Linked DNA regions of Canis lupus familiaris. The protein of the gene in region 1 interacts with the protein of each later gene in a pairwise test. Links are inferred from orthologs where the notes say so. Each region holds a gene or a part of one and is shown in the gene's direction. Other genes may lie near its edges.

Evidence for each region. The genes of interacting proteins can lie anywhere in the genome.
Region 2: the proteins of LATS2 (region 1) and MAP3K5 come close enough for resonance energy transfer, tested with the Homo sapiens proteins (2 studies listed by BioGRID, with this or other methods). The link is inferred for Canis lupus familiaris from reciprocal best matches to the Homo sapiens genes LATS2 and MAP3K5.

The regions. Positions count from the first base shown.
Region 1 is NC_049246.1:17,242,097-17,246,387, forward strand, and holds part of LATS2 (serine/threonine-protein kinase LATS2), read left to right. Parts: intron 1-1,294; coding exon 1,295-1,401; intron 1,402-4,023; coding exon 4,024-4,291. UniProt on the Homo sapiens protein: Negative regulator of YAP1 in the Hippo signaling pathway that plays a pivotal role in organ size control and tumor suppression by restricting proliferation and promoting apoptosis.
Region 2 is NC_049222.1:29,533,573-29,537,767, reverse strand, and holds the start of MAP3K5 (mitogen-activated protein kinase kinase kinase 5), read left to right. Parts: upstream 1-1,395; 5' UTR 1,396-1,414; coding exon 1,415-1,838; intron 1,839-4,195. UniProt on the Homo sapiens protein: Serine/threonine kinase which acts as an essential component of the MAP kinase signal transduction pathway. Plays an important role in the cascades of cellular responses evoked by changes in the environment.

The DNA.
Region 1 (4,291 bases):
ATTGTTTCCCTCCAGTTCTCCCCCTGTTGTTCCAGAAGTGCTGGAAGGTGAGATTTGGGGGCAGTGGTGTACATGCAACTACAAGCATTCAGTAGAATTAGTCTCCTGTGTGGATGCTCTGTTTTATCAAATACGACATTTGATTGAGTACGAGAAGAACCTTTCAGGGATCAGTTGCAGGGCTTTTAGTGACAGTATAATAAATCCAGAGATCGGTGGTCTGTCTTTTCACATGTGGTGGTCTGTCTTTTCACATGTGTTGTTTTACTCCAGTTTTCTTTGTCAGCTGTGGAAATCCAAAGCAAAGCACTTAACCACTCAGAGCCACAGGTATAACAATAACTACCTTGAGAGGTTGCTGTGAACATCAGCCTTACCGCACAGGAAAGTCTCATTGTCTCCTTCCTCTCACAGTGGGAGGTGAGAAGTATCTCCAGCACCCTAATGTGTGCAGTCCTGGAACTAGGGATCCAAGTTACCCTGCCACCTCTAGTGCCAGACCAGGGTGGAAGAGCTGGGGGATGGGGTGATGGGAGAACACAGCAAATGCTGCTGGCAGGTCTTAAGGCCCAGTTCAGGCTTAGCCAGGATCAGGTGACATCAAGACTGGAGCATGACTGGGACTAGGATGCAGAGCTCTGAAGGACAAGTGGGAGAAAATTGAAAAATGGGCCTGTTGTACTGCCTTGGTGAGGCTGGCTCGCCTGACCAAGCTGCAGGCGCCCTGCCGCAGCTACCGCACCTTGGGAGCTCCGTGAGGAAGGGCCTGGCTCTCTGAGTGCATCGCAGTAGGTCTTAGGAGACAGTTGTTTTCTTTGCCCTCCTCTTCATACTCCTCAACTTCTTCCAAAACAGACTTAGCAAGCCTCCCAGGGAAGCCCTCAGGACTGGCAGGTAGAGCACTTTCTGGTTTTCAGTTAGTCCTATTTTAGTTTATGTCTTTCAGTTCTTTAAGAACTGAAAATCCCGGTTAGTGATGTTACTAACAATAGGCTTTTAAAAGTAGAAAGTCTTATTATAAAAGCATCCTGTGTTTATTACAGACTAATTGTAGAAAATAAGAGAATACATGAAGACTGTCACCACCCTGGCAGGTGTCCCACCCAGCCTGCTATTCTGAGCCACACGTACAGGGAGGCACATTTTGTGTCGGTTGCTTTCCTTTTACATGACATGTGTGCTGCTTGAACATGCTTTCCCCTTCAACGGCAAATTAGCATTTGAGGATTTTGCAAAACTCTTCTCTGAGAAGAATGCACACCTGTGTGGAATTGAGTGAGACTTTGTCTTTCAGGATACACTCAGCTCTGTGACTGGTGGAGTGTTGGTGTGATTCTCTTCGAGATGCTGGTGGGACAGCCACCCTTTCTGGCCCCTACCCCCACGGAAACCCAACTGAAGGTAGGTACTAACCAGCCCATGCATCTGCTCGCTGCAAACACACTTGGTTTTCTGATGAACCCATGAGTCTCTGGTCAGCATTTGACCTTTAATTCTGAGTAGTGGAAGAGTGTCAGTTGTATGTTTTTAAATCATTATTATTACCTGTATAAAAAGTTTTATTTTAATAAGTAAAGCCACCAAGTTAGACCTGTGTTTTGATATCTATGTATATCTGAAGTTTTACTTGAACCATTGGTCATCCGCCATCTTGAACTATGAACAGGGAGAAGCAGTAAAGGTGGGCCCTATGTCCATTCTCTGCTGCCACACGTGCCTACCTGCAAAAAATACTGAAAACTTTATGAACTGTACTTGAAGAAATCAATTACTTCTTTGGATATTATACTACATTATACACTATATCCATTATTGCTTGCAGATTATCAGCTATGTGATTGGGCTAGTTGCACATTTTTCTAATATTGATTGGAAGTAATCATTTAATAGTAAATAATTAGTTTTGGAGTTATAACCATTATTCTCTGAAATAAATGATTTGATTTCTTAGGAAGGACTGAATTGAGAATTTGATAAAATCTTTGGAACATCTTTGAACAGTGCACTTACCCACCAAAATATGTGTTCACTAAAAATTCTTGAAGTATTCATAAGTCCCAGAGTCCATGTTAGACCCTAAATTAATAATCCCTTATTTAGAAAAATCCTGAATGAAGGCTTAGTTTTCACTCTGGTAACAATAAAAATGAAATTTGACACTATTTCTATCCTAATTGAATTGCCATACCATTCACTAATTTGCTTGTATGATAACTCAATTTTTTATTGTGATAAAATTTACCAGTTTAAACATTTTTAATTTTACAGCTGAGTGGCTTTAAGTGCATTCACAGTGTTGTACGACTGTAACCATAACCTATCTTCGATAGTTTTATCATCCCAAACAGAAACTGGGCTCATCAACAATAGCTCCCCATTCCTCCCACCCCCAGACCTCTCTTTGACTTTTTTCTCTGTGAAGTTGCCTAGTCTAGGTATCCTGTAAAAGTGTAATACCGTATTTGTCCTTTCACCACTGGCTTATTTCACTTTAGCATGTCTTCGAGGTCCATCCATCTTGTAACGTGTCAGAATTTCCTTCCTTTTTAAGGCTGAAGAATATTCCAGTGTATGTGTATAGCACATATATTTATCAAGCATCTGGTGATGAACAATTGGGCTTTTTCTACCTTTTGGTGATTGCGAATAATGCTGCTGTGAACATGAGTACATATACAAGTATCTGTTTGAGTTCCTGCTTTTGTTTTTGGGGTTACATGCCCAGAAGTGGAATGGCCAGATCATATGGTCATTCTACATTTAACTTTTATTTTATTTATTTTTTTTTTACATTTAACTTTTTGAGGAACCACCAAACTGTTTGCCACAGTGGCTACATGATTTTACATTCCCATCATCAGTGCTTGAGGCTTCCAGTTTCTTCACATGCTCATCAACATTTACTTCATTTGTTGTTGTTGTTGTTTAATAGTAATCATCCTAGTGGGTGTGAGGTGGTATCTCATTGTGGATTTTTTTTTTTTTTTTTAAGATTTTTACTTATTTGTTCACGAGAGATACAGAGAGAGAGGCAGAGACATAGGCAGTGGGAGAAGCAGGCTCCCTGTGGGGAACCCGATGTGGGACTTGATCCCAGGACACTAGGATCATGATATTATATATTCTGGACAGTAATCCCTGATCAGATATATATGCTTTGCAAATATATTCTCCCTTTCTGGGGGTTACCTTTTCACTCTGTTAATAGTGTCCTTTGATGCACAAAAGTTTTAAATTTTGATGAAGTCCGTTTTGTGTATCTTTTGTTTTGTTGCCAGTGCTTTTTGGTACCATATACAAGAAATTTTGCCAAATCCAATGTCATGAATATTTGCCCCTATGTTTTCTTCTGTGGCTTTCACAGTTTTAGATCTACTAAAACAACTACTCAAGTTTGAACCAGCCCTCCCACCCATACCCCACCTGCCTCCATGCCTTACCAATGCCCTGTCACCCCAGCCTGTGGCCTGTTAGCTTGGCCTTGCTTTATCCTGATTCTAAGTATAAATAATAGAGAAGTCTCTTAGGTTTTCTTTTCATAGCAGATGCATTTCATAACAAATGTATTTACTGAACATCCCAATGGCTGCTCTGTGTGGTTGACTGTCATGAATATGAGGCCAGGGCCATTGGTTCAGTCACCTTTATTTTCCTCTGTGAGGTTGTCTTTTTTTTTTTTTTTTTTTTTTTTTTAATAAAACCTCAGTTGACCATCTGTTGGCCATAATAATCACAAAATTCTTTTGCTAAACTCTTTTTCTGATAGAAGAAAATCAGTCTCTTTTGGTCTCTATTTGGCTTCATCACCCCCTGCCTCAGGCTGTGAGCCCTTTACTAAACCACACTGGCCTTTCCTAGCTGCTCAGGTTTGCAACTGCTGCTCCTGGGTTTGTTCTAACTGTTGTCCCGTCATGAAAGTAAAATTATTTGAAAGCCATGTCACCACATACTGTCTCAGAACTGCCCTAAACTGGCCTTAAAATGTGAAAAGAAAGGAAAATTTGGGTTCTGTTGTCTCGTCAGGTGATAAACTGGGAGAACACGCTCCACATTCCAGTCCAGGTGAAGCTGAGCCCCGAGGCCCGGGACCTCATCACCAAACTGTGCTGTGCTGCCGACCACCGGCTAGGGAGGAATGGGGCCGATGACCTGAAGGCCCACCCATTCTTCGGGGCCATTGACTTCTCAAGTGACATCCGGAAGCAGCCGGCCCCGTATGTTCCCAAGATCAGCCACCCCATGGACACCTCAAATTTTGACCCCGTAGATGAAGAAAGCCCTTGGAATGATG
Region 2 (4,195 bases), on another chromosome or scaffold:
GCGGAGTGGGGTATAGATCCCTTATTCTGTCTCCTGAAAGCATAGGACACCGCGTGCGCGGGAGGGGGTACCTTTTAAGAACCTAAATGAGAGTGCTTCAGTCGTTCAGCAGTTAGGCCTAGTCAATTACTCATTAACGATAACATTGCCAGTGCAATTTTTTTTTTAATGGAAAGTAGCGGAGGCCGACCTGATAAGTTGTGCCAGCCACGGTCGGGAATCGATCGCCCGTTGCCGTCCAATATAGGCCCCCGCGGCGGGGCGCTAGAGGAAATCCTCCGGCCTTGCGCAACGCAGGCCCCTCGGCGCAGCCCAGCGCTGGAGCGCCGCGCGCCGAACCAGACCGCGCGCAGGGCGAGGCCGCCAGGCGCCGGACGGGGGCGCCCTGGCTGCGGGGACCGGGGCGAGAGCCTCCCGATAGCTCCGGAGCCCCGAGTGTTCTCCGGAGAGACTTTTTTTTTCTTTTTTTTCTTTTTCGTGCGCCGTGCTGCCTTCGCGCGCGCTCCAGGCTTTGGCCGACTCCGGGTCTTCTTAGGTGGGGGTCCGGTGGGTGACGGCGGAGCACTCCCGCCCCGCGCCGAGCCCGGGGCCTGGCCGAGGTCCGGGAGCCGCGGCGCGGCCGGTTTCGTCCCGGCTCCAGCTTCCCAGCAGCGCCCTCCCCCGGGGCGGGCCCTGACTCTCGGGGCCGCGACGAGTGGGCGGCAGAAGCCGGTGGCCCCCTGGGCGAGCGGCTGCGGGGAGCGGCGAGACCCAGCGGCGAGGCTGGCGCTGGGACGCAGCGGCCGCGGCGCGCTCGGGCGAGAAACGAGGCCAGGGGAGGAGGAGGAACTAGAGCCCATGAAGGGGAGCTGCCGCCGAGGAGGGAGGCGGGTCCTTTCGGCTGCGGCGGCTGCTGTTCCGGGACGCAGCCCGGGGAGCCTGCTCGCCCGAGAGGTGCTGGCCAGGTAGCTCCCCACCCAGCGGGCGCCCTCCCCGGCCCCTCCCAGCGCCCGGCACGCAAGGAGCGGGAGCCGCGCTCCGGGGGGCCAGGGCGCTCCGCACGGCGAGCGCGGCGCCCTTGAGCTGCACGGCGGCGCGGGCTCGCGAGCCGACTTGTCTGCCGGCAGCAGAAGGAAGCGCGGTCCCTTCCCGCTCACCCTGGCGTCCCCACCGCTCGTACTCTACACCCTGCCTCGGGCGAGCGGCGCGGCCACGGAGGCGCCGAGGAGGGGCGAGCCGCCGCCGGGTAGCGGCGTGCCCCCGGGAGAGAGGGCGCCGGAGAGGAGGCGGCGGCGCGGTGCGGAGGGCGCGACGCGCGATGGCAGCTGCTTAGCCCGGCGCGCGCGGAGCAGCCCGGAGCTGTGGCTGGCCAGACGGTGCGGCTGGGCTGGGGGGGGACGCCGCCGCCGCCGCCGCCGCAGCCCGGCCGGGAGAGATGAGCGCCGAGGCGGGCGAGGGCATCACTTTCTCCGTGCCACCCTTCGCCGAGGGCGGCAGCTGCCGGAGGGGAGGAGCGGCGGCGCCGGCCGAGGGCCCGGAGAGCCAACTACCACCGCCGCCGCCGGGCAGCTTCTGGAACGTGGAGAGTGCCGCCGCCCCGGGCGCCGGCTGTCCGGCTGCCACCTCTGCGAGCAGCGCCACCCGGTGCCGGGGCAGCTCTGGTGGCGGAGGCGGCCGACGGACCACGGTGGCTTATGTGATCAACGAAGCGAGCCAGGGGCAGCTGGTGGTGGCCGAGAGCGAGGCCCTGCAGAGCCTGCGGGAGGCGTGCGAGACGGTGGGCGCCACCCTGGAGACCCTGCATTTTGGCAAACTGGACTTCGGGGAAACCACGGTGCTGGACCGCTTTTACAACGCAGGTGCGTGTGCAGCCCCTTCCGCGTCCTCCACGGTCAGGGGCCACGTTCTCCCTGGCCGCCCGCAGCGGGGCAAGGTTTTCCTAGGCGGCAGGCGTGCTTCCTCCTTACCCACTTCTTGCCCCACCTTAGGGGCAGCGAGCGGCGCTGCGTGACTGCTCCGGGCGCTCGCTGCCCCCGGGGAAGAGTGGGTGCGGGTGCAAGATCCTGTGTACTTGTGCTAGACCGACTGGGTCACCCGCCGGCCCGCGCTGGAGCCGGTCCGGAGGCCCCTCCTCAAGAACTTTTCACTTCTAAAGTAGTGCGAGATAGTGGCCCCATCAGCCTTTGTCCATTTGGGGTCTTGGTTTCTCTTTTGCTAGGTTTGGCCCATTTCTCCCTTCTATATATACACCTGTGACTATTTTAGATGACGCTTTCATTTTTTCTCTGTGTGGTGTTGGGAGAACAGGAACCACGCAGCCCGCTGCTCTCAGAGTCTATCTATACGCATTTGCATGTCGTGTCGTGATCTTCCCAAGTCCTTTCACTCGAACATATTTAGTAGCTTGGATGTTCTAGTCTTAACCGATTTGAACTTCTAAGGAATTACTTCCAAAAGCAGTAACCTTGTCACTTGAACTAAACTTTCGTGGTGTCTTTGTTAGGATTTTGGTGGGAGAATATTATTACCCCATATACCACAATGAGCTGGAAAGTACATAATTTAACATTGTTTAAAATATTTACTATTTTAATAACTAAAAATTAGTTTGTTTAAAGGGAGTGCCACCAGCCCCGGTGGCGCAGCGGTTTAGCGCCGCCTGCAGCCCGGGGCGTGATCCTGGAGACCCTGGATCGAGTCCCACGTCAGGCTCTCTGCGTGGAACCTGCTTCTCCCTCTGCCTGTGTCTCTGCCTCTCCCTGTCTCTGTGTCTCTGAATAAATAAATAAAATCTTAAAAGAATAAATAAAATGTAAAATTAAAAAAATAGAGTGCCAATGTAATCCATAAAAAAGTTATCTTTTCAAGTATCACATATTTCAGAAACTGTCATTGCAGTTCTAGTGATTGATGCAATTAGCTATTTGCTTGCTAAAGTTGGGAATAATATTAACATGCTATTGAAGTTAACCTTTAGTACCCTGTACAACCAAATATGAGAACATACATGTATTTATTTTTTCTAAGTGTGGGCGGAAAATTTAACAGTGGTTTCAAACAATAAGATTCTTGCATTTGTGATCACGTAAAAGGTTTTATATTCCAAACTTGCTTTCAGTTCTGATTCTCTTCAGTCTCTTCAAAACACCTGAAGTAGGCTTATGTCAGCTTTGGAATTCAGCCAAAACTGAATATTTTTAAGAACCAGAAGAACTTCATGTTAAAGAAGTCAGACTAAATAAACCAGGGCTTTCTGGTGCTGGTATTTTTTTTACAGTCTTGGTCTTCAGAACTGAACCTGAGTATGATATATTATAGCTCAGTTTTTTGTGTGGCTTGCTATAAAAATTGCATAAATGTAACTTTTCTAAAAATTATAGCACTCTTATTTTTGGATTATAGTTTGGAAGAAACTTCAAAGAACTGAAAGATATGTGAGGAAAACACCCAAGCAAATACTGAGCCTATTTTTATTGCTCTGATAGATTCTGTATTTTTTATAGGACTCTAAAAAAATAAAAAATCTTAAACTCTAGGCTAATTTGGAAGATAGTTTCCTAACATGGCACAGTTACTGTTTGTTCTCCAAATAACTGTTTGTGGGAAAGAGACAAAGGAAGACTACAAGGGGACCGACATTTGAACTGTATCTTTAATCCCCCAAACAAGCCCATTAAGGAAGTACTTCTTATTCTTCTCAGATGAGGAAACCAAGGACTTTATAACTGGCCTAGACTTACAGGTAGTAACTGATCAATGCAGGGTTCCATTTCAGGTGGCTGACTCTAAAAGGTCATCTTTGCTGCTGCCTCCATTTAGCTGGGCTGATTTACTCTATCTTGGAATCATGTGATAGAGAGCTGGCGGGGACCTGGTGAGCCATTGAGGTGCAGCGTGAATCATGGGGAGGACACTTTGGGAAGACTCGTTTCTGAGCCATTCTGAGCCATCTCTCTCCCATCCATTGCTTCATTCAACCTGAGCAGGCCCCAGTTTAACCCCTACTTATGCTCATGGTAATGAACTCTGAGCCCTGTCATTGAGTCTGAAGATGTGACCAAATGAAGATGGTATGTTTTGTCCAAATCCTTTGTTTTTCTCAACTGACGGCTGCCAACTTGGATGGTAGTAGAACTTTTCTTCTGATTTCAGAGGGAGCGCTTGCTCCTCCTCCACCAGGGAAACAGTTTTCTGGGAAGGGCCAGATGGTAAATAT